Alligator mississippiensis: one gene and its partner. The protein of the gene in region 1 purifies or fractionates together with the protein of each later gene. This does not show direct contact. Links are inferred from orthologs where the notes say so. Each region holds a gene or a part of one and is shown on either strand. Other genes may lie near its edges.

Region 1 (10,845 bases):
ATTTATTACACCTGGGAGGATCTGTTGGCAGTTATACCATCCCTGAGGCAACCCATATCAATCTAATTGACCACTTGTCTTTTCACAGGTTGTAAAAGCAGGTTTGCTGTGTAAGAGCTGCGCAGCATTGGAGAGAAAGACCACTGAAAAGCTGCCCTTTCTTCAGGTCCAGATGGAATCTACCGCATACATTTAAAAAACAAAATGGCACTTTAACTTATAAGAGCCCATATGTTCATTGCCTTTGCTAAAGATTAATCATTGTGAAAACAAAGTAATAAATGTTTAAATATTGTACCTTTGGTGATAGCTTATGTTAAATAACCGAAAGTGTATTTAGTTAAAGTCACAATTCTTAATTAAAAGGTGTTTCTGACCTTCACAAAACTGACAGCTGTATTGCTAACTGACAAAAGCAGTATAGAATCTCACCCATAAAGAAAATTAAAAGCCTGTTTTCTATCCTGTTTTAATTAATTCAAAGTTTGGAAAGTTTCACAAATGTTTTTATAATGTAATTCGTAAAGCTACTTTTTCCTCTTCTGTTTGCAAGAAAGGGCTGTTTGCTACTTGCACTTTCTGCACTCCAGAACTGATAGAACGTAAGCAAACCAACTTTGTCATCCATATTATCCCAAGCTCTCAAATGGGCATTAACTAGAAATCCAAAATCTAAACTATTTCATTGTCCTGAATTTAAATATATCTTAACTTTGCTGCTAGCACTGTGAACATAAGGAATCTGGTATATATACACAACACAGGAGAAGACAGGAAAAAAGCCACAAGTGGAGTTGCAACAGAAACAGCCATAGGGTAAAGAAGAAAAGGCAGACACCTAAAAGATAATTCTCTGCTCCTACTCATGTTCTCATTCCATAATCTTGGAAGTTTATGACCAGTGAATCAGGTGAGCAAATCTGAACAGCAGACAGGAATTTCATTGGTCCTGCAAAGCAAATAAGTAGGAGCAGAAACCTGATCCAGAAACACTGGATTTCCTTTTTCATAGTATGTCCAAAAATATATTCAGTGCTATCCAGTAATTTACCAAGTCATAAGATGCATACCTGCTAAAATGAGCTAGGAAGCCGGATGACATATGGGCAAATGGGTGTGCTGCACAGAAGGCAGGAGAAGGACACGCTAGGACATTCCCTCCATCTCATTTACCTACATTTTACTTTTCCCAGCCCTTGAACATGACCCATTTTTAGTTACAGCCCATTTCTCTACTGTGATTTCCCTCCATACCTTACCTATCCATCACAGTAATTATTTAATGACCTTCAGCAAATCACTTCACCTTGGGATTTAGGTTTTCTGTAATTATATTTAACTCTTCTGAAAAGCATTTTGAAATACATTGTGCAAATGTTATATTAGAGCTAGGTATTATTACTTCTGCCACCTTCAATTTTTAACCAGCTAAAACCTTGTTCTTGTTAAAGTTCTCCTATCTATCAGAGACCCTATCCAGACTCAAGCATGCTCTCTACCCAACAGGCCCAATTCTAATATATGTCAAAAGTTACTGTTGTTGGAGTCAGAGGGATATAAAACCGATGGAAGAGATGAAAGTCAGACATGTTATCATCATGTCTCCTCTGATATCATTTGTCCACTAGATTCTTGCCCTGCAACGAGTGATCCATAAAAGTAGTTTCTCTAAGGCCCTGGCTACGTAAACTGGGGAAGAAGGGTGCAGAGTCAGCGCAGAACAGGTTGTGAAGGCAGCATAATATGGCAGCATGGGAATTTTCTAACTCAGTGTTCAAAAACCTTAGATGGACACAAGGAGGCTGAATATATTCTTTTGCAGACACAAAAATCTCCTAATACAGTGACGGAGGGGAAGCCCAAAATCAAGTTTCACAAAGACACCACCAAGAAAAAGAAATCATTTATAAATACTGAATCTCCCCAATAGCAATATTATTTTAAAATTTATACACCCACAAAAAAAATAAAGGGGAATGACTAGATATAGGAAATGGTGATATTTTCTGTGCATAACATTATTTTAAGATGTATAAACAAGCTGGAAAAACAGAGAAGGTTATTCCCTCATCTCTTTCGATTTTAGAGATAGAGCAATAATCTGCAAGAAAATAAGGTAAACATCACACTTATCTGAATTTTTTTTAGTAACCAATGTTTTTAAATTTACCCTTTTTGTTAGCACTTTAGACTCTCCTGCCAAAACATCTGTCACCTTAGTCCTCCAATTCCTTTCTTTTCATTACAGGCAGTCCTTGACTTGTAAGTGCAAAATGTTGCAACTCGAAATGTTGCAACATTTATAAACTGACACCCTGTTTCAACTTTCTAACGTCAGTTTCGACTTTACAACGCTTGATCTGATGTGATACCACACCAGTGAACAAGTTCGCTGCATCACTCATCTCCCTGGAGAACATCTGTCCAAACTTCCTTGGACACTTTCTTTAAGAAAGCAGACAAGACTCCAGAAAAACCTGCAGCCAAGACTCCTGAGAAGACTCCAGCCAAGAACCCTTCAAAAAGTCCAACCAAGAGCCCTTCAAAAAGTCCAGCAGTCACCTCAAAGAAGTCCTTCCAAATCAATATGATTGCTATTTACAATATAAATACATTAATGTAACTATGTCACTCATCTATAATTGATCGAGTACAAAATTCTGGGGTATTTTTGGTGAACATAGGGTATCAGGCCTTGGTTCAGGAACCAATCCCCCATTTATAACATTGTTTCTTATGAGAAAATTGGTTCCAAGTTACAACATTTCAACTTAAGACCCGGTTTCCAGAAACCAATTGTGGTAAGTCCAAGGACTGCCTGTACTAACAATTGCTAGGATTGAAGAGGGACTTTTAAACTAAAAGATCAGCATGGACTTCCTGAACTACTGATGTTAGCACTCAGGAAAGACTGAACCTCCTTTTCCAGCCTTTATAATTTACTTTTCATTAACAAGTTCAGTATTTGAACCTTGCTGCATATTGTTCTGCGCTGACATTCTGTTTAAACTAGCAGAACCTCCCTATGTATTGAATACGGCTTTCAGCCAGACTGAGTAGCCAAACACAAGGAGCTCAAACACTTTCCTGCCGTTTACAACAATGTTCTAAGTGCCCCAAGTTGACCCCCACTTTTGGCCCTTACTTCCCTTTACCACTCTCAAGTGGGGTGAAGGAACGGTTGGCTGGGATACACACTCTGTAAAGCCTTTCAAAAAAGTTTTTGCAACAACTGTAGGAAGTAGCCAAAGACAAATGCTCACCTAGTTCCAAATGAACCAAACCATCAAACTAGTAGCCACGTGGCACACTAGTTCTGTCACTACAGTGGAGGACACTACTGCTCCTATTAGCCACTTGCAAGAGTAGCGCATATAACACACCACTGCAAATCTATATCTCATTTTACAAACCAGGTTCAGCAGACAGAATATGCTAATTACCTGTTGTGTTGAACAATCCAAACACAAGCTGACAGAAGGGAAAAATACAGCATGAAAAGGCAGAACGAAGAGCAAAAATCTGGAGAAGACATGGCAGAAAGAAGAAACTATCCCACAAGCATGGATAGCATAACAAGATGGCATGAAGGTGAGGGCATGAGAAAAATGAAGGAAGCATCAAAGCCAAGTGATTGGGAATACAGAAAAGAGACAACAAAGGAAGTGACAACATTAGGAGTGTGGGATGATACAGGAGAACAGGTGGGGAGGAAAGAGGAGAGATCCGAGATGATGTTTTCTTTCTTTCTTTCTTTTTTGTTTTTTTAAATAACCCCACAAGAGCCTGGAAGAGTCCCCAGAGAGAACAACCAGCCCACAACAACTTCAATGTAAGAAGCACAGCAGAGCACTGCACCTTTTTGAAACAGGGATCTTTTCGCATCGCCTGCCTGTGCGGCAGGTCGATTTTGAGCAGTGCCTTCTTACAATTCTCATTTTCACTGGCTAGAAAGAAGCGCCACGACTCTGCACAACCTTTCAGCCTGGGCCAGTGATGTCGGCCTTGCTCGCTGTCCGTCTGAGCAGCACTTGCAAAGCTCTAAGTGTCCATCAGCTACGGCGTCTGTCGCCAGGGGAAGCAGCTTACAAAAGCCTGTGGTATCTCCACCAAGAGCTCTCAACCTGGCTGGACTCATGGCGCCCCCTTGGACCTGAGGCAGCCGCTGCCCACGTGCCAATCTGCACTAGGGGCTGTGACTGGAAAAATACCAGAGGCACTCTTCCACCAACAACACTGCGCACAGGGCACGGCAAGGCAGGGGGGCATGTGCAGAGCACATTCCCACATGATGTCAGTGGGTAGAGGTGGCACATGGCGGTCGTACGATGAATGGCCTTTTAACACCTCACCGGATTTCCTGGGCCAGGCCCGCCAAAGAAACTATAACCCCCTCTAACACAGGGGTCCACTAGAGATGTGTTACTGAATGCTTGGGACAAATAATAATAAAAACAGGGATGGGAGCAGAGGTCAAAGGCTAGAAACACAAGTGCCAAGAGGGGACACCAAGCAAAGCAGAAAGGACAGCGCCCGCCGACGCGGCGCCAACCCAGCGTGGAACCTCGAGGCCCCCTGGAGATGACCTCGAGGCTCCTGAGGATGCGGCCTCCTGGCTTAGCCCCACTGCCCTACCTCTACGCAGGCTTTTCCCCCTAATATTATCTTTTTCAAAATACTTTCATCCTGCTAGAAATGCCCCCATTCCCTCAGGCACAGGCGCTCCATGGGCAGCCCAACGCTCCCCCGCAAGGACCCCTTTGGACACCCGCTCCCCCGCGTAGACCCCCACTGGCAACGAAGCCAGGCCCCGCCCCCTCCATGTCACTCCCGCTACGCCCCCCCAACGTCCCCTCCCCCCCTCGGTGGGTTCCGTATGGCGGGGGGGTCTCGCGGCCCCCCCCCAGCAGTACCATTCGGACCGGGGGCAGGGGGATAGATCAGTCCGGGCTGCCGGGCTCTGCAACAGGCCGAGTGTGTCCCCCCTCGCTCACCGTCCGGGCGGCGGCCGGGCCCTGCAGCACGCGGGAGAGCGCGGCCAGCAGCATCTTGCGCATGGAGCGGGGAAGAGGCCGCAACGCCCAACGCCCGCCCGTGTCCTCGAGTCTCCTTCAGCGCCGGCCAGGCCCCGCGGCCACTACCTCCGCCGCACCACGTCCTCTCGTTGGGCCGACCGGAATCTAGCCCGGAGTGACAGCTCCGCGGCTGACAAAAGGGAGATTCGCTATAGAGTTGTGGCCGACCAGCAACGCTCCCCGAGTTCCACGTTCCTAAAGGAATTTGAACGAATCTGCCCGAGCGCTCGGCTCCTGGTTGCGCATGCGCACTGGGACTCCAGGGCTGACAGCCCAGGGGCCCTAGCAAGGCAGTGATGGGAGTGGAGGATCCCAGGGGAGCTCCTCCCCCCCCCCCCTTTGCAATTCCCAAAGTCATGTCATGGATAAACATTAATGTTCAGTTATTACAATAATTATTATGAGTTGTCAGTTAATACATTAGTTGTGGATTTTTTGTTAATAAATTATTATTATTTAAAAAAAAAATGTAGACCTGTTGAAAGTGCCTGCCTAGGTGGCTGCAGCCCCCAGGGCCAAGTGTAAAGTATCCATGGCTGGGGCATGCCTGGCCTGAGCCTTGCATTATTTGGCATTTGCCTCAAGTCGTGGTGCAGTGCAACCTTGTGAGAATCTGAGCTTTCCTTCCTTGATTTTATTTTCATGTGGACGCATAGCTCTCCATGTTGTAGAGAGCCAGGGGAATACACAGAGCTAGGGCCACCCAACCATCAAAAGAGCCAAAAAAAAAAGAAAAAATCATATTTGTCATCTCTTTAAAAAATCTGATTATTTTTGGACCGATTTCCTGATGTCAGGTGGTGAGAGAGGCCGATGCCTAATTTTTGAAGGCTTGGCCTTAGCTGTGTTGTATCTAACTGCTGCCTGGAATCGCAATTGCAAAAAAGTTAGGTAGTTGGCATGTAATTACCTGGGCTGGAGCTAATTATACATGTGGCCAAGACGCCAAGCTCAAAGCGAATTGTTGGTTACAATACGGTCATGAAGCTGACTGTCGATATGTTCCCTACTCAGTCAGAGTTGTATATTAAGTTTTAATCATTTGCAGCCTGTCTAGACAAGGGGATTTATGCTGACACGTCACTGCTTTCGTATAACTACTTTTGCTTTCGCTGGTATGAAGTAGTCATGTCTAAACCAACATCACTGTCACATGTGGGGAGAGGGAAGTTCATTCAAAGTGTATAGCATGCAGTGGGATTGGAAGTGGAAGATGGGGTTGGACATTAGACATCCCATGATTTTTTTTTTGCCAGGCCAGACTTTGACTCTTCAAGGTGCTGTTGCCATTTTCCAACTCCTAACTGATCGTTTTGGACAAGCCAGCCCTCCAAACTATGATGCTGGTAGTATGTAGGCATGCATACCAGTAGCATATACAGAGACTTATACAGATATATTTGACAAACTCATAAAAAAGCATTAGCTTTGCAAGCTAGCTGCCACACAAGCAACTGTGGCTTATGGAGAAGTAGCAGTTACAGGTGAGTTGTTTAGGCTCCGTGGGTTCGAAAATTGGGTTTACAGGAAAGGGATATGTCTTGGATTGCGATCGGCGATGGGGAGAGGCTAGAGGCGATTTGTTCTTTTGTTTCCCCTCCGGAGTAGTTAAAGCTCCGTGGGTTCGATCGTTAAGCCTCTATTGCCTGCTTGAGAAAAGCGTTGGGTCCGTAAGGATCCGCAGCGCTTAGAGATCTTCACACAGTGTGAAGTCTCCTCCTCCTGGTGTTCGTGGAGTCCTCCAACTTGGGCGGAAACCACTCAAGCCTTTTGTACGGCTAGCAAGCCAATAGCTAGCCGCCACGTGTGCCTACATTTAGAATCGGCCAATAATGTGGCGCGAATCGAAATGCAAATGGCGGGAACTCCTTTGCAACGTGCATCACTAGTATGCAAAAGAAATGCACCATGCAAAGAAGCTGCAAAACGGCGGGAAATCCCCCGTTGCACCGGAGTTCTCTCCAGCAGCAGAGAACTCCACCATGCAAAGAAAGCTACAATTTAGGCGGGAACAATAATTTAGCGGTGCTGAAGCACACACAAACAAAAACCACAACTTTGGGTTGTGACATTAAGGAGTCACAGTGGGGGATGCTACGGGAGCCCTTTTCTAGAATCATAAAACAAGGAGAGTGCTTTTTTAGAATCTCCCAGGTGTTTTGCTTGTAGCAAAACTGTAAATTAGAAAACCACACAATTTTTAAAATGACCACTGCTTCTCCACTGGAATTTGGGAAACCCTTGAACTCACCAGATGCTGACATTATAATCGGGAAGATGTTTCACTTTTAGAATCCTTGCTCTAGAATACCACTTCCCCCCTCCCCTTTCTGTGCTTTATTAATGACATCCCTCACACTATACAAAACACATAAAGATAACCACACATACACAGATAACTCCAAGGAGCTCAAAATATGAGAAATTATTAAGAAATACTGGGAATCTCAACAACGTGTTGATACAGAACATGCTGTATTAACTTATATTGTAGATGCTTTGGGAAAGAGATCTCTTATTTTTATTTGACTGAAAGTCAGGCTCAGTGACAGAATTATCAATAAAACATAAAATAGTTTAAAAATAATATTTAAAGCAAAAGAAAACCTTATTCTTTTCTACTGACTCCTAATTCCTACCAGGATTGTTATTAAGTGTCAAGTTTCATGCCTCTGGGCTTCTATTCAGTCTATTGCCTGTGCTATGAAATTTCACAAGCATTTATAAGCTTTTTCAGATTTACTTTATTAGTGAATGCTAAAAAGAAGTTACCCAGTTGAAGGAGTAGAAGGAAATATAGAGGCTCAGACAAGGGTGACTACATGTTATAGGCTGGGTTGGGGAAGGACACAACTAAGTTACATAGTAAGGATGTAGCCTGCTTAGCTCAGTGATGGGTTGAGATGGGGAATACGGGAGCTAAATGTGCAATGCTTACATAGTAAAGACTTGATCTTAGTGAAAAAAGGCAGAGAAGGAAGAAGAGAGAGTCTTACCTCAAATCCTTTTATTTTCTAACCAATTTTTGAAAAATCCAGGGAGATGCTTTACACACACACTTTATAGTATGTCTGTGTGCAAAAGATGTATTTGAAACCTTTCATCATTGTATGCTCTTCATTCAAGGATCCTCACTTTAGATATTCTTTTTTTTCCCACATCAGAGAAAACCATATTGGTGTGTAATCACCTATGCTCCATCAAGAGGAAAAGGCCCCTGCTTCATCCAAGTAATAGGAAGACTTCAAAGAAGAATACTTTCAGTATTTCAAAGATCTCTTCTGTTTCTTTCTTTTTAAGATATTGTAGAACTCAAGTTTCAGATTGATGTGTTATGAAAGAAAACTTGATAAAAGCTTTGCTGATAAAAGCTGACACTGTATCTCCAAAAAGCTGTGGCTCGAATGTGGCCGTACTTTTCGGAACCCTGACTTAGATATGGTCAGGTGCTGAGACTCTTTTTTTGTTGTTTGAGAAAGGAGAGAGTTTTAAAAACACTGAAAGTGATGTCTATCTAAGGATATGCTTCTCTGAAATGCTGCATGGCGGCAGAACAGTGCTGAGTAGATTCAACCCCCAGTAACTTCAATATCTATTCAATGTTACAGTAATTAGACTTTATATTTATTTTCTCTTAGCCAAGGATGAGGCTAAATATCAAGTTAGGAAAAAAATATCCAGCATATAATTACTTGTAAATTAAATACCGAGAGATGATACATATTGCATTTATTCCAGTATGTGTGAAGTCCTATTGAAGTTAACAAGTTCCTGTGCCTCCAAAGACTTACCAAGTTATGAGTTTCTGAAAAAACCCCACAGGTCACATGCTCAGCAAAAACATGTTCATGCTATTGCTTCTCACACCAGCTATGGACCGCATTGGTGCTGAGTGGCTACTGTGGTTACAGTGACTGACAGTGGACAAACTGTTCTTGCTGGGCTGTCAATAGGGAGTGAGTCTGGGATGTGGAATGAGTGTAGAGGAGATGAACTGGGATGAGAACAGATGGGATGAAGGTGGGCTGGAGGAGACAGAGAAATATAGGTCAAATGTAAAGGGGGCTGTAGCTTCTGTTACCATTCAAGTATATTCCTCTTAGAACCAGATGGTTCTGTAAATGCTTCTGTTGTCAGCCAAAATCTAGAACATCCATATGCAAAATTTGTGCCTCATCTCCCTCTAGTGGCTGGCAGGCACAAACAGAGGACAACAGTCTCTGGCTCAAGGGGCAGATGTTCCTGTTCCATCCCTGCAGAAGAGCCACATGGAATTTACCACTTCCTTCAGGAGTCTGTTCCAGTAATCACATTCAGTGTTAGAAACATGACTCATGTCTCATTTGAATTTGCCTGGCTCAGCTGCCAGCTATTTGTTCTTGTTGTTCCTTCTTCTGCAGTATTAAAGAGTTCCTTAGTGCCCAGTATTTTCTCCTCGTGAAGGCACTCATTGTTATCAAGTCACCTCTCTCCTTTTTGAGAAGCTAAGCAGATTGAATTCTTTAAATCTCTCACTATAAGGCATTTTCTAGAGCTCAAGAACATTTTATTGTTCTTCCTACACACATACACACCCACATGCACATGCACACATTTTTTCAAAATCCTTTTTTAGATATGAAATCCCAAACTGCTAGACCAACCTCCATTCAGTGATTTCCTTTTGCCATTTGGAGCACACACTGAGCAGGCTTACACATTGAACACCAAGGGGAAAAACTGGTAAATGGTCATATATTATTGGGGTTTTTTTCCCCTACAGGATCCCTACTTGATTCAGTACACTGGATGAACAGAGTTCAGAGAACATTCAGGTCTGTAGGTTATAATGCTGTTATTTGTAAAACAAATACCTTGTTTGTCTTGTTTGTTGCAGAAGTGGGATGTAGTAAATGAGGCAGGCCATTGTAGGAGGAAAGAGGAAGTTCTTATGGTCAGTGGTGCTCAACCTATGCCCCATGTGCCAGATGCGGCCCACAGAGCTGTCATCATGAGTGGTGGTTTTTAAATTTTTAAAATGACCACTGCTTCTCCACTGGAATTTGGGAAACCCTTGAACTCACCAGATGCTGACATTATCATTGGGAAGATGTTTCACTTTTAGAATCCTTGCTCTAGAATACTACTTCCCCCCTCCCCTTTCTGTGCTTTATTAATGACATCCCTCATACTATACAAAACCTATATTCTTCTGAATAGAAGCCCAAAGAGGCATGAAACTTAACATAACAATCCTGGTAGGAATTAGGAGTCAGTAGAAAAGAATAAGGGTTTCTTTTGCTTTAAATATTATTTTTAACCTATTTTATGTTTTATTGACAATTCTGTCACTGAGCCTGACTTTCAGTCAAATACAAATAAGAGATCTCTTTCCCAAAGCATTTATAAGCTTTTTCAGATTCACTTTATTAGTGTGAGTGGTGGTTGCTCCTCAAGGGAGCAATCCTCAATGCACAAACTAAGTCTATTCCATCTCGGAGGAAAGGCAGCAAGAGGGCACAGCAGCCCCCCCTGGCTCTCCAGGGACCTAGCAGACCTCCTGAGGCTAAAAAGAAAGGCCTACAAAGGATGGAGGATGGGAGTCGCCTCCAAGGAGGATTATTCTGCACTGGTCTATATAGGATTATTCTGCACTGGTCCGGTCCTGTAGGGAGCAGACCAGGAAAGCCAAGGCTGCAACTAAACTCCAACTAGCTTTGAGCATCAAGGACAATAAAAAGTCCTTTTTCAGATATGTGGGGAGCCGGAGGAAAAGCAGGGGCAACGTTGG
Region 2 (10,284 bases), on another chromosome or scaffold:
AATGAATGCACAGGGACAATTAGACCAAGTGAATCACAGGATGACAAAGGAGGTATAAGGAGAAAACTGGATAGATCTACAAAAGCAAGGGAGCCTGTGATCACAGCTTGTTGGTTCCTCTTTTTATTTTAGTGAGTTAATATTTTAATGGTGTTTTGAGGAAGTCAGTGCAGACCGTAGAGGTGGTAGAGATATGCACTGGAAAGCTAGTCAAGAGAAGTGAGACTTTAGTAAGGATTTGAAGAAGGAGGGCTGGTTTCTACAGAGAAAAAAATAAATGTACTTGCAGCTGGTGCTGCAACCCACACATCTTCCTTTCTTCACAGTAGGTTAGGGCAAATTACAAGGAAGGTTCTCAAGGAGATAGACAAGGATCTGAAGGAACCACTGTTACCTAAAAGGGGATGGCTCAATAGCCTCTGAAAATAATCAGAATAAACCCTATCTATAAAATGTGTGGTCTATGTCCAGGCATGGACTAACTGTAGGCCAACATCTTAGTACACCCCTGGACTTTGAACATTCAGACTGCATTACAGAACTAGGTCTCAACAGTGCTCCTATTGAACTCTGTAGGAAGTTGCAATGGATTTCAAGGATGCAAAATCAGGCTGTTAAACCAGATTCCCACTTTATGACCAAAAAAATAACTATGGAGAGCCTTTCAGCTGTAGCTTCAGGCTGTCTTAACATTGTCTGTTAACATGTTTATATGAACATAGGTTGTAAAATTAATACCTTATACAAATAAAACAAAAGCCAACAATTGGGTGACACTTGTAAAAGGAACAAGAAAGTTTTTAAAATTGCATTATAAAAACAGACACCTTTAAGACTTCTTGAATTTTGCAGCCAGTAGCATTGCCTAAAGGTTCAGCCCCACAAACTGGGGCTGGTGATACTATCAGGATAGGTTTATTATTAGAAATACTACATTTGGGTTAGATTAGACCAGCCTCTCTGCCAGTTCTTCCATGAAACGTTTCCATGTGTTTCCTGTTTACTTTGTTTGTATTGTCTAGTGTAGAGCTGGATTAAACTAACATTTTTGAGTCCCATACTCCTGTGTCAGCTGGCTAAACTGCTGTTTCCCCTATGATTCCATATTACGGATAATAAAAAAGTGACACTTTGTCACTTCAACCACACAGGAACTGCTCCAACAACCTTACTGATACTGTTGATCTGTTCTTCATTTGTTCTATTTCTTCCTTTCCCACATTTTTAGTTCCACTTTCCCATCTTCTGCTTCCCCATGCCTTTCTGTCAGCTACCTTGCAGAAGTTTGCTGCACATGGGGGCATGTGTCCCAAGGTGTGAGAAACAGTTGTGCTGTAAGGCAACTGGAGGTTTAAAGGAAATCAATGGAAGGAGGTGTTCTAAGTGCTCCAAAGTGTCCCAAGTATTTAGCTTGGTAGACAGGTTAGCTAATGGAGACTGTTCGTCACAGAGAACAAGACGATGGTGGAGCAGATTTTTACTTCCTGATTTGCAGGAATTCATATAAGAAAATGTCTTGATGTCTTACGTCAGACAACCCAAAAAAGGACTACTTCAGGCTACCCAGCAAAAGGACCTGAATCTATTACCATGTATGAATGTCTGTCATAGGCAGGCCACCAATTCCTACACCATTACAACTGCAAAGAGTTGAGATACAGTTTCAAAAAGATCCAATATTCAAGGTTTGATTTGTTTTTAATTCTCAAGGAACTGGACAGGAAACACTGACTTCCTTCCAGGCTATGAAAAGAGTTTGTGCTGGCCAATCTCTTCCTAAGGGTTTCTGATGAACTGAGCTTTTGTTTTAGCAGAGCCTTATTTGTATTTTGGTTGATTTTGGTGTCTGTCGTTAGGATCCAAACAAAATTATCAGGATGCCTTGATCCATTCCTCCATCTGTCTTCATAACATCTTTCCTCTTTAACTTCTGTGTCTTTGAATTTAACTGCAACGTACACAACCAGTTGTGGTGCTTATATATGGCAAACGTCCTGTTCACTTCAATGGGAGCTGGATTGGAGCCCATTCATCTGATGAAAGGCAGCATTCCCTACAAGGATTAGCAAGCCACCATAAGAACATTTTTGCATGGCACAGCTGTCAGTTATGCAGAAAGAGAAACAAAGCAACATCCAAGCCTTGTGCTAGGTTTTTTTCTAACCACCATGTAATAAAAATATCCCACTGAAAATAAACAAGTGGCATTGTTGCCAGAATCACTGTACACCACAAGAGAAGGCAGGATTTTCCATTATGTACCATGCAGGAAAAAATAAAAAGAAACCTTTAGCAAAGTGGGCAGAGGAGCCCAACAGCTGTCCGGTCAGCGCTGGCTGAAAAGAGATTCATGGCAGTTGTCACTTGACTTCTGTCCCAGGGCAGACGAGCAGTTTAGGATCTCAGGCCTGAATAACCCAAAACAGGTCTTCCTCTGGGATTATGCTAAATAGCCTGGCACTGTGTTTGCAGTTCATCCAACATGTTACAGCCTTTTCTCAGGGGAATACACCAATAGAGCAACTGCTATAGTCACTCCACGCCTGAAACCCATGGCAAAATAGGCTCCATGGGGTGGATTTTGGTAGCACCATGTCTAGAGATATGGTTCTCCTTTGTGATTTCTGTCCTAGACCTTTTCACTAAGTCTTTATTCTTCTGTTCAATAGTCCATTACCCTAATTACCACCCTGTCCTTCCCGTTTAATGATCTCAGTGTGCTTAGTAACCATTAATAAACATCAGAACCCTATTGCAAGCAGGGTCATATCACGAGCAGCATCCTACAGATGGGGAGGCTGAGGCATAGAATAGGTAAATGGCTTATTCGGTGTCATGTAAGTCAGGGATATAACCTCTCTTGACTTTGAATCCTCTGCTCTAAGTGTCCCATTCAGTACCTCATGCAGGCGATATTAAATCTCTCATTGATTGCAATGATATTGTACCAGGTCTGAAGACCTGACTCTCACATAAGCCATTTTCATTTGGTTCCCTTTGCAGCAATACAGCCAAGATGCAGTGGATTCTGTGATGGATATTTTTTTTGACAGGGTTGCAAATCCCAACAGATTATAACGATGATAATAGTTTATTTGTAACATAATACTGCACTGCTCTTCTATCAGCAGGTCTCAATAGGTAGAGAAAAACCAGTGTCTTGATTCCTAAGTTTATTCTTTTATTCTTAATCATAAGCTTTTTCACCTCTTGCAGATACAAGAATTCAAGTCTGAATTAAAAATAATATATAGGGTTTTACTTTTTCACCATGCCTCTAAAGAACTTTGCTAAAATTATCTTTTACTTAATTTGCCTGGGTCCTTTTAGTTTTTCCTTTCCCTGATCCACAGGTTAGCTAACTGATCATGTGATTAAGATAAATACTATAACATATGAAAGTACACGCTGAATAATGCAATGAGTCTTCTACCAGTATGCATGGCAGGATATACAGGACAGTTACTGTTTCTTACACATATGGGTGTCAGTGAGCTTACACAATCCCATTGCAGCTCTTCTGCTTGTTCTTATATTAATCATTGCTTAACAAGTGCACCTAGACACGTTTTGCAGCTCACCATTTTTAATTTATAAGCAAATCTTTTACGTAACAAACTCTCTTGTTACCAGACTGCTATGCTCAATGTAGCACTTACAAACCAGCCTTGTAGAATAAAAATTAGTTCAGCTTTGAATCAATCTTTGTTTATTGATTGTTATGCTAGAAGACTGGCAAGAAATTGTGTTTATTTCTGTTTCTTTCCTTAGAAATCTCAAGAATGGCAAATTGTTGGTCTATGATTGGGGTACCTGGGTGCTAGGAAAATATAAATCAAATATAAAATAGCGATGGGTCACTGATTTTTTTACAAGCTATGTAGAATAGTAGCATTAGTAGTCAAGTAGTAGGTACCGTTTTAATTTCTTCCCAAATAAATCTTTAACATTTATATAATCATTGGTTTATCAAATAGCTTAATGGCTAGTCCAGAGAAAAGGCCTCTTCACTAAGGCCCAACCCTTATCCTGCAACCACTTATGCACATACTGAACTTCAAATATAAGAAATCCCACTGATTTGGGAATGCTAAAGTTTAAAATTGAGCACGTATTTGCAGGATCCAACCGTATACGTATAAGCCTTTATAACTGAGGAGGGTCCAGACGTTATGAGAAGCAAGTGAATCAACACTGACATTTTACAGCTATCTTGTCCTAGAAGTTCTGTTCAAGGATTTATCCTAATTCAGTGGTGATCCGCCTTTTTCCCTAGTGGGCCAGATGAGCAGTGCCTGGTCTGTCCACGGGTTGGATCTGGCTGGTGGTCACAATCCAACGCCCAGGGCAAGTACAGCCGTGGCTGCATGGAGAGGGAAAGCGGGGTGGTGGGGACAGCCCAGCCTGGCCCTGATCCAGCCGTGCAGGGGAAGGGAGCGTGTCCCAGCCCTGATCTGGCTGTGTTGTGTGATGGGCTGGGGGGGTCAGAGAATTTGGCAGCAGGGACCATATTAATGGCCACTGCTCCCCTGCTGCCAAATTTCTCAACCAGTTGGGAGCTCCACATTTGGCCCACATTTTACCCCCTGCTCTAATTTGCTTGTGCATGTCTGAGGGAAGGAGGATTATAGACTAAAGCATGAGATTTAAGGGGGGGACTGCACGCCTGCAGAGGTGCGTAGAGTCACAAGGGTTTTTAGGAAGGTTGCCAACTCTGAATCTATTCCAGGTTACCAAAATGCCAGCACACAATTCAAATGTGCCACATGCTTGTGTGTACCAGTCACACGTTACGGCGCTTAGACTTTACATCAGGAAGGCAAAAGCACGTTGCTGTTATGCTTTAAAAACTCACCGGACTACCGTATAAATCAAATTCAACATTTGATATTTCTTTTAATGAATGCCCTATCGTTTATCCCTCCGGTGCCCCTCAGCAGTCTCCTGGAGATTTACGTCTAAACCCTGGAGACTCCTGGACGGTGGCGACCCTGCTTTTTAGCAGCCAGGGTCCCTCGCAGAAGAGGCCGTGGAGCTGAGCAGCAGCAAAACCCGATACAGGGGCAATTGGTCACAAAGCTCGGCTTGAGCAGAGAGGAAGCAGAGCAAGAAATAAAGCAAGCAGCAGATTATGACTGATTTCACTTAATGACATTAGGATGCACGCGGGGCCTCGCAGAGCGCCAGACGCGTGCTTTTCCCAGTCCTCCTGCCGCGGGATTTGTTCCTGTCCCTGCCGGTCACGCAGCCGGCGCGTCCAGGGGCCTGCGCCAGGGACACGAAGGGCTGTCCCCACCAGCAGGTGCGGCCAGGCTGACTGTCCTGGGACAAGGCCACTCGGGCGGGGTCCTGCTGCGGGACAACCCCCCTGCCCCTCTTGAAGTCCCTGTGAGGGATATCAATTAACACGTGGCCCCGGGGCCAGTCAGGGCTAAATGTGCGTGTGAACCATTGTCCCAGCCTGTCTGGACAAGCCTTCCCCGGTCCCAGCAGCCAGCTGCAGGCGGCCACGGGAGTTACAGTTTTAATCCGGATTACGAGCGTCAACACGGGCACAAACCTGCATTGCTACGATACCCCGTCCCGCCCCACGTGACACACAAACCCCACCCACCAGGCCCATGCTCGGGCCCAAGATGGCCGGCGGGGGGTCACGTGATGCGGTCCCGACGCGGCCTCTCCCTTGCGCGCTGACGTTACGCGTCGCCGGGCGGGTCCCGTGACCGGAAGCTGGGGAGGGGGAGGCGGAAGTGAAAGCGGAGCTGTCGGGGCCCATTAAAGCGGAGCGGAGCGCAGAGGCGGCCACACTCGCAGTGCCGCGGCCCGACCAGACGGTGAGTGTCGCTGTTCCCTCCCTCCGCTCCCGGGCCTCAGGGTGGCGGCGCCCCCGGGGGACCCCGGGCGGGGCGGTTTGGGGGGGTCTTTGTCTCCTCCCGCGGGGGCGGTGCGGCAGGACCCGCCCTCTCCCCCCGCGCACCCCCCCCGGGTTTGGTGGACGGTTGTTGCGCAAGGGGCAACTTAGGCCTGCACGGGGCCCGTGGCCGGGGGTGGTGCAGCCCCCTCTCTCCGCCCGTAGGGCGGGGGCGGGTCCCCCCGCGGCTTCTGCTCCGCCTCATCTAGCCTCGCCTGTGCTCCGGCCCCGTCCCAGCCCAGCTGGAGGAGCGGATATTGTGTGTCGGGGGGGGGGGGCGAGGTGCTGGGGCTGAACAGGCAAGGTGGGATTGTAGCAGTGCACGGGCAGCTCAGAGCGGTTGCTGGTGTCTGGTGGCCGGCACTGGCTGTTCTCGCTGGCAGCTGTGTGTGCCTGACAAGCTGTAACCCAGTGTTGTTGGACCCCTGCCTGGGGCAGAAGGGCCTCACCCCCCAGGCAGCCCTGCTGAAGAGTGTGCGTGCCACTGCTTGGCTCTGGCTTTCTGTGTTTAATATGACTGACTTGGAAATACTGGTTTCCTTGGCTGTCAGTTAGTGGTGTCAGCCAGTGCCCAGTCTGGCTTCTACAGAGCAAGTGTGGCTGCCCGTAGCGTTTGCTCAACTGCTCCTAGTTACAAATAGGTCTGGGGTAATGTCAGGGTGGTCAGCTGGATATTGCTATGTAATTGAAGCTGTTGTATGCCATACCCTCTTAGTCAGGAAGAAGCATGCTGTTTTTCCCTTGTGACTTCAGCAGCTGACCAAACACACATGACTTGCTATCCATGAACTAATAAGACTTTGTCAAGGTATGGTGAATTGAGTGAACAAGGAAAGTATCCTAGGTTGAATGTTGTTCTTCCTAAACGAACCAAGCGCCAGGCTGGAGATGAAATGGCAAACACTTCTCTTGTGGGTTCTCTCAACTGATAGCAATCACAGGCCTCTAGTCTAGAGAAGTGCAAGATACTGTTAAACTGCTGAAATAAGCAGAACTGCTGTGAAAGAACCACAAGTCCTGTTTTTTTTTCCAACAGCCACCCTTGAACAGATGGGAAGAGTAATGGTGAAGACTCTCAGGAGCTAAGAAGTTAAACTAAGGAACTGCAGGCTTTTTGTTGTTGTTAGTCTTCTTCCCCCCCCCCGCCCCCCATGCCCCCATTTAGATTAAGTGCTGTTGTCATGATACAACTTTTGTGTAGCTATAAAGTAGCTTGAGGCAGAACGCTGGGTTTTGTGAAGCCTGGCTTTCAAGGAATTTTCACAAGCAAGTGGCAACATTTTTTGAGAGGTCTGTGTGGTAGAGTACTGCAGATACCCGTGATGGCTCTGGTATCAATAGCAGTTTACCTGTAGTAGCTATCCCGTACATACTAACAGCCCAAATCCAAAATCGACTTTTTAGGTGGGTTTTTCAGTACAAGATGGCACTACATCTGGATAGTTGCTGGGGGCAGAGCTAGCTTTGGCCTGTGGTATAACATGGGCACTGTGTTGGCTCAAAAAAAAAAAGTTATCCTGTTTTAAGACAAACTGGCTGCTGTAGCTTGAGTCTTACTTGCTTTACTGCTATGAACAAATGTCCCAAAGACAAGTGTAGTTTTACTGTACTTTGAAATAGACTTTAATATAAGTTTTTTGCACTGCAAGGGCTGCACCTTTTTATGTGGGTAGGCTGTTTCCTGTCAGGACAAAGTTATGGACAAAGTTTGTATATGCCAGATTTCCTCATAGACAATCGGGTTATCTTTTTCCAGGAATGTAAGTTCCAAATGAACTTACATTGGATTTCTCTTCTCTGAATGTGTTTCATGTTTCTGTGAGCCAGCAATTTGCAGACTGACATGGGCAACCCTGACTGGATGGGTGCAGAAATACAGACCTAATGCATCCCAGCAGAGGTCTAGAATGCAAGTTAAAGGGATAATAGTGCAGGATGTTATGATGCAGTTAAGATGGAGGGAGCTGCTGGTCCTCTGGACAGGTGGAGTTGCATAATGGCTGGAGTTGAATTTTGATATCCACTAGTAAATTGTGAACTTAAACCAATGCAATTCTTGCATAGTTTGAGACTAGTGTGCCTCTTCAAATCAATGCAGTTTCTAGGAGGGAATTTGAAGTCTAGAAGAGTTGTTTTAATGCTAGTATATAGTATCTGCTTCGTAGCCTTGCAGTCTCTACTGTAGACTTTTTCTACCCAAGCTTGACTTGTAACTGTCACAAGGGTGTTTATTATTGGTAACAGAAGTTGAAGAAACTGTGACAAAGAGGATACTCTTAAGGCTGAGATTTGTAGCATAATGCCTCTTCTGTCCTTGTTTAAAAGTACTGTTTTGGTTTTTTGTTTTTTGGGGTTTTTTTGTTTGTTTTTTTTTTTATTGCCCAGCCTGAAATGGGTTAAGTTCAAATAGTGTGTTTGTCTAAGTTTCTGATGCTAGAACTTTTATTTGGGGGGGGGATGACAATGCATGAGATGGCTGAATTGGCCTGGCTGCCAGAATGCCCAAAGTAGTTGGGACTTGCTCACTAGTTTATGGAACAGCTTGGGTTAAAAGCAGTACTTCTGCCTTGTTAAACATGTTGGAAAAATTTGTGCTAACCTACCTATTCGAAGGCAAAGTCATAAGGATCCAAGTGCTTTATAGTGTTCACATGTTCAGGTCAAACATGTTCTAGTCAAGCATGACACTGGCTTTAGCAATTGCTGTCTAACAATTGCCTGTTAGTGTTGGATTCTTTTTCTAGCTGAGTCTCTCTATTTCTAAAACCTGCTTCTGTAATGACTTCTGATTATGTAAGACCTTGACGCGCCTCTCCTCTTTAAATTTGGTTGGTTCTGGGAATTGCAGGAAAGTATTTAACTGTGGCTGCGCATAGTTACGAGTGTCTTAGTTCTGCAGTTATCTGACTCTGTTAAGCTAGCCCCTACCTTGCCTAAGGATTCCTAAACATTAGACAAGGTCACTGACTGTTAGCAGTCTCCTTGAAATTACAGGCAGCTGGGTTATGTCTCCCTGTCACAAGGTGCATTTACTTTCTCAAGATTCCTGCTTCAAATGCTCTTGTTGATCTTTTGCACCAATCTTGGAGATGCAGCTCCTGGATTCAACTTGCTGCTGCATTTTCTTCTTGATGGGGATCTGCGTTGGTGATGTCATTGTTGCTGTTTGCTCTGTGTTCCTGTGAGACTGCTCCATCCTTTCTAGTGCCAAGAATGAGAAGTTCCATGCATGAGGCAAGCTGTTTCAACAGTACTGTTCATAAAGCACACCTTCAGTGACAATAAGGAAAGCTTTTTTGAGGATGATTAGAAACCTGTCGGTTTAAAGTTCATCTGAAATAGGGAATTCGCTCTCTCTCATCCAGCAATAAAGCTTCATGAACGTTGCTTCCCATTAGGTCATGTTCTGAAGCAAACTGCAAACCTGCAGTACAGGTTGCTGGTACAAGCCATTTGGGATACTACACAAGTAATTTTCTTGTCTATACATATTAAACAGGGCTATTTTGGTAATCTCTACCTAGAGTGACTAATGCATCATGCTTGTATGTAGCTCTGCTTGAACTCTTGAGGATCTAAGGTTGTCTGTCATAATATGAATTTGCCCCAAGCTTGTTTTGTCTTTGTTTTGTTTTTGTTTTTTGGGGGGGCGGGGGTTAAGCATACATAAACTCTGAGCACTGAGTGTCTAGAACTAGCCCATTCTTGATTGGGGATGAACCTGCATCAGAAGCAACATGCATGCTCATCTTGCATGACTGACCAGATGATGATGATGACCTTTTCCCAGGGAACATAATGTGAATGCTGTTTTAATTACTGAATATGGTGCCACTTTTTTAAGGGTGGTAGACTCCTTCCTGCAAGGGAACATGCAAGTGAACTTGATTGTAGCTTTAGAGCTCAATTTTTACTTTAAACACTATTGTTCCTGGGATTGTTGCTTTTCTTTGTTCTGCTCCACACCAGCAGCTCCTTAATTCTGAAGTGGCCAACTTAACACACTTGTAGTGGTTGAGCAGTTGGCTTGTTCTCCTTCTGGAGGATTATAGACTGGACACCTCCTAGATGTTGTGGTATTGCAATTAGTAATAAACAGTAGGATAGCTTTGCAATGGTAAGGAACCTTAATCTAGGAGGGCAGTAATAGCTGCTAGATCCAGTCTAAGAATAGGGTGCCTTATGAGGGAGAGGTGTATAATCTATTTGGCCAAAAGATGGGGGGGGGGGGGGGGGGGTGCGTGCGCGCACACCTAATCTCCCTTGGCCATGAAGCAGAAGCCATCTTCCTAGTATTTATGCTGCTTAATTGCTCTAACTGCCTTTGCTCCATCCCTGAAATCATAAGGCATTCAGTAAAATAACACAGTTAC

What was found.
Region 2: the proteins of PDHA1 (region 1) and RAB7A fractionate together in Homo sapiens (co-fractionation; 3 studies listed by BioGRID, with this or other methods). This does not show direct contact. The link is inferred for Alligator mississippiensis from reciprocal best matches to the Homo sapiens genes PDHA1 and RAB7A.

Annotation. Positions count from the first base shown.
Region 1 is NC_081824.1:319,709,342-319,720,186, forward strand, and holds the start of PDHA1 (pyruvate dehydrogenase E1 component subunit alpha, somatic form, mitochondrial), read right to left. Parts: upstream 5,197-10,845; 5' UTR 5,058-5,196; coding exon 4,995-5,057; intron 4,932-4,994; exon of another isoform or gene 4,917-4,931; coding exon of another isoform or gene 4,914-4,916; intron 1-4,913. UniProt on the Homo sapiens protein: The pyruvate dehydrogenase complex catalyzes the overall conversion of pyruvate to acetyl-CoA and CO(2), and thereby links the glycolytic pathway to the tricarboxylic cycle.
Region 2 is NC_081835.1:19,831,087-19,841,370, forward strand, and holds the start of RAB7A (ras-related protein Rab-7a), read left to right. Parts: upstream 1-5,728; 5' UTR 5,729-5,834; intron 5,835-10,284.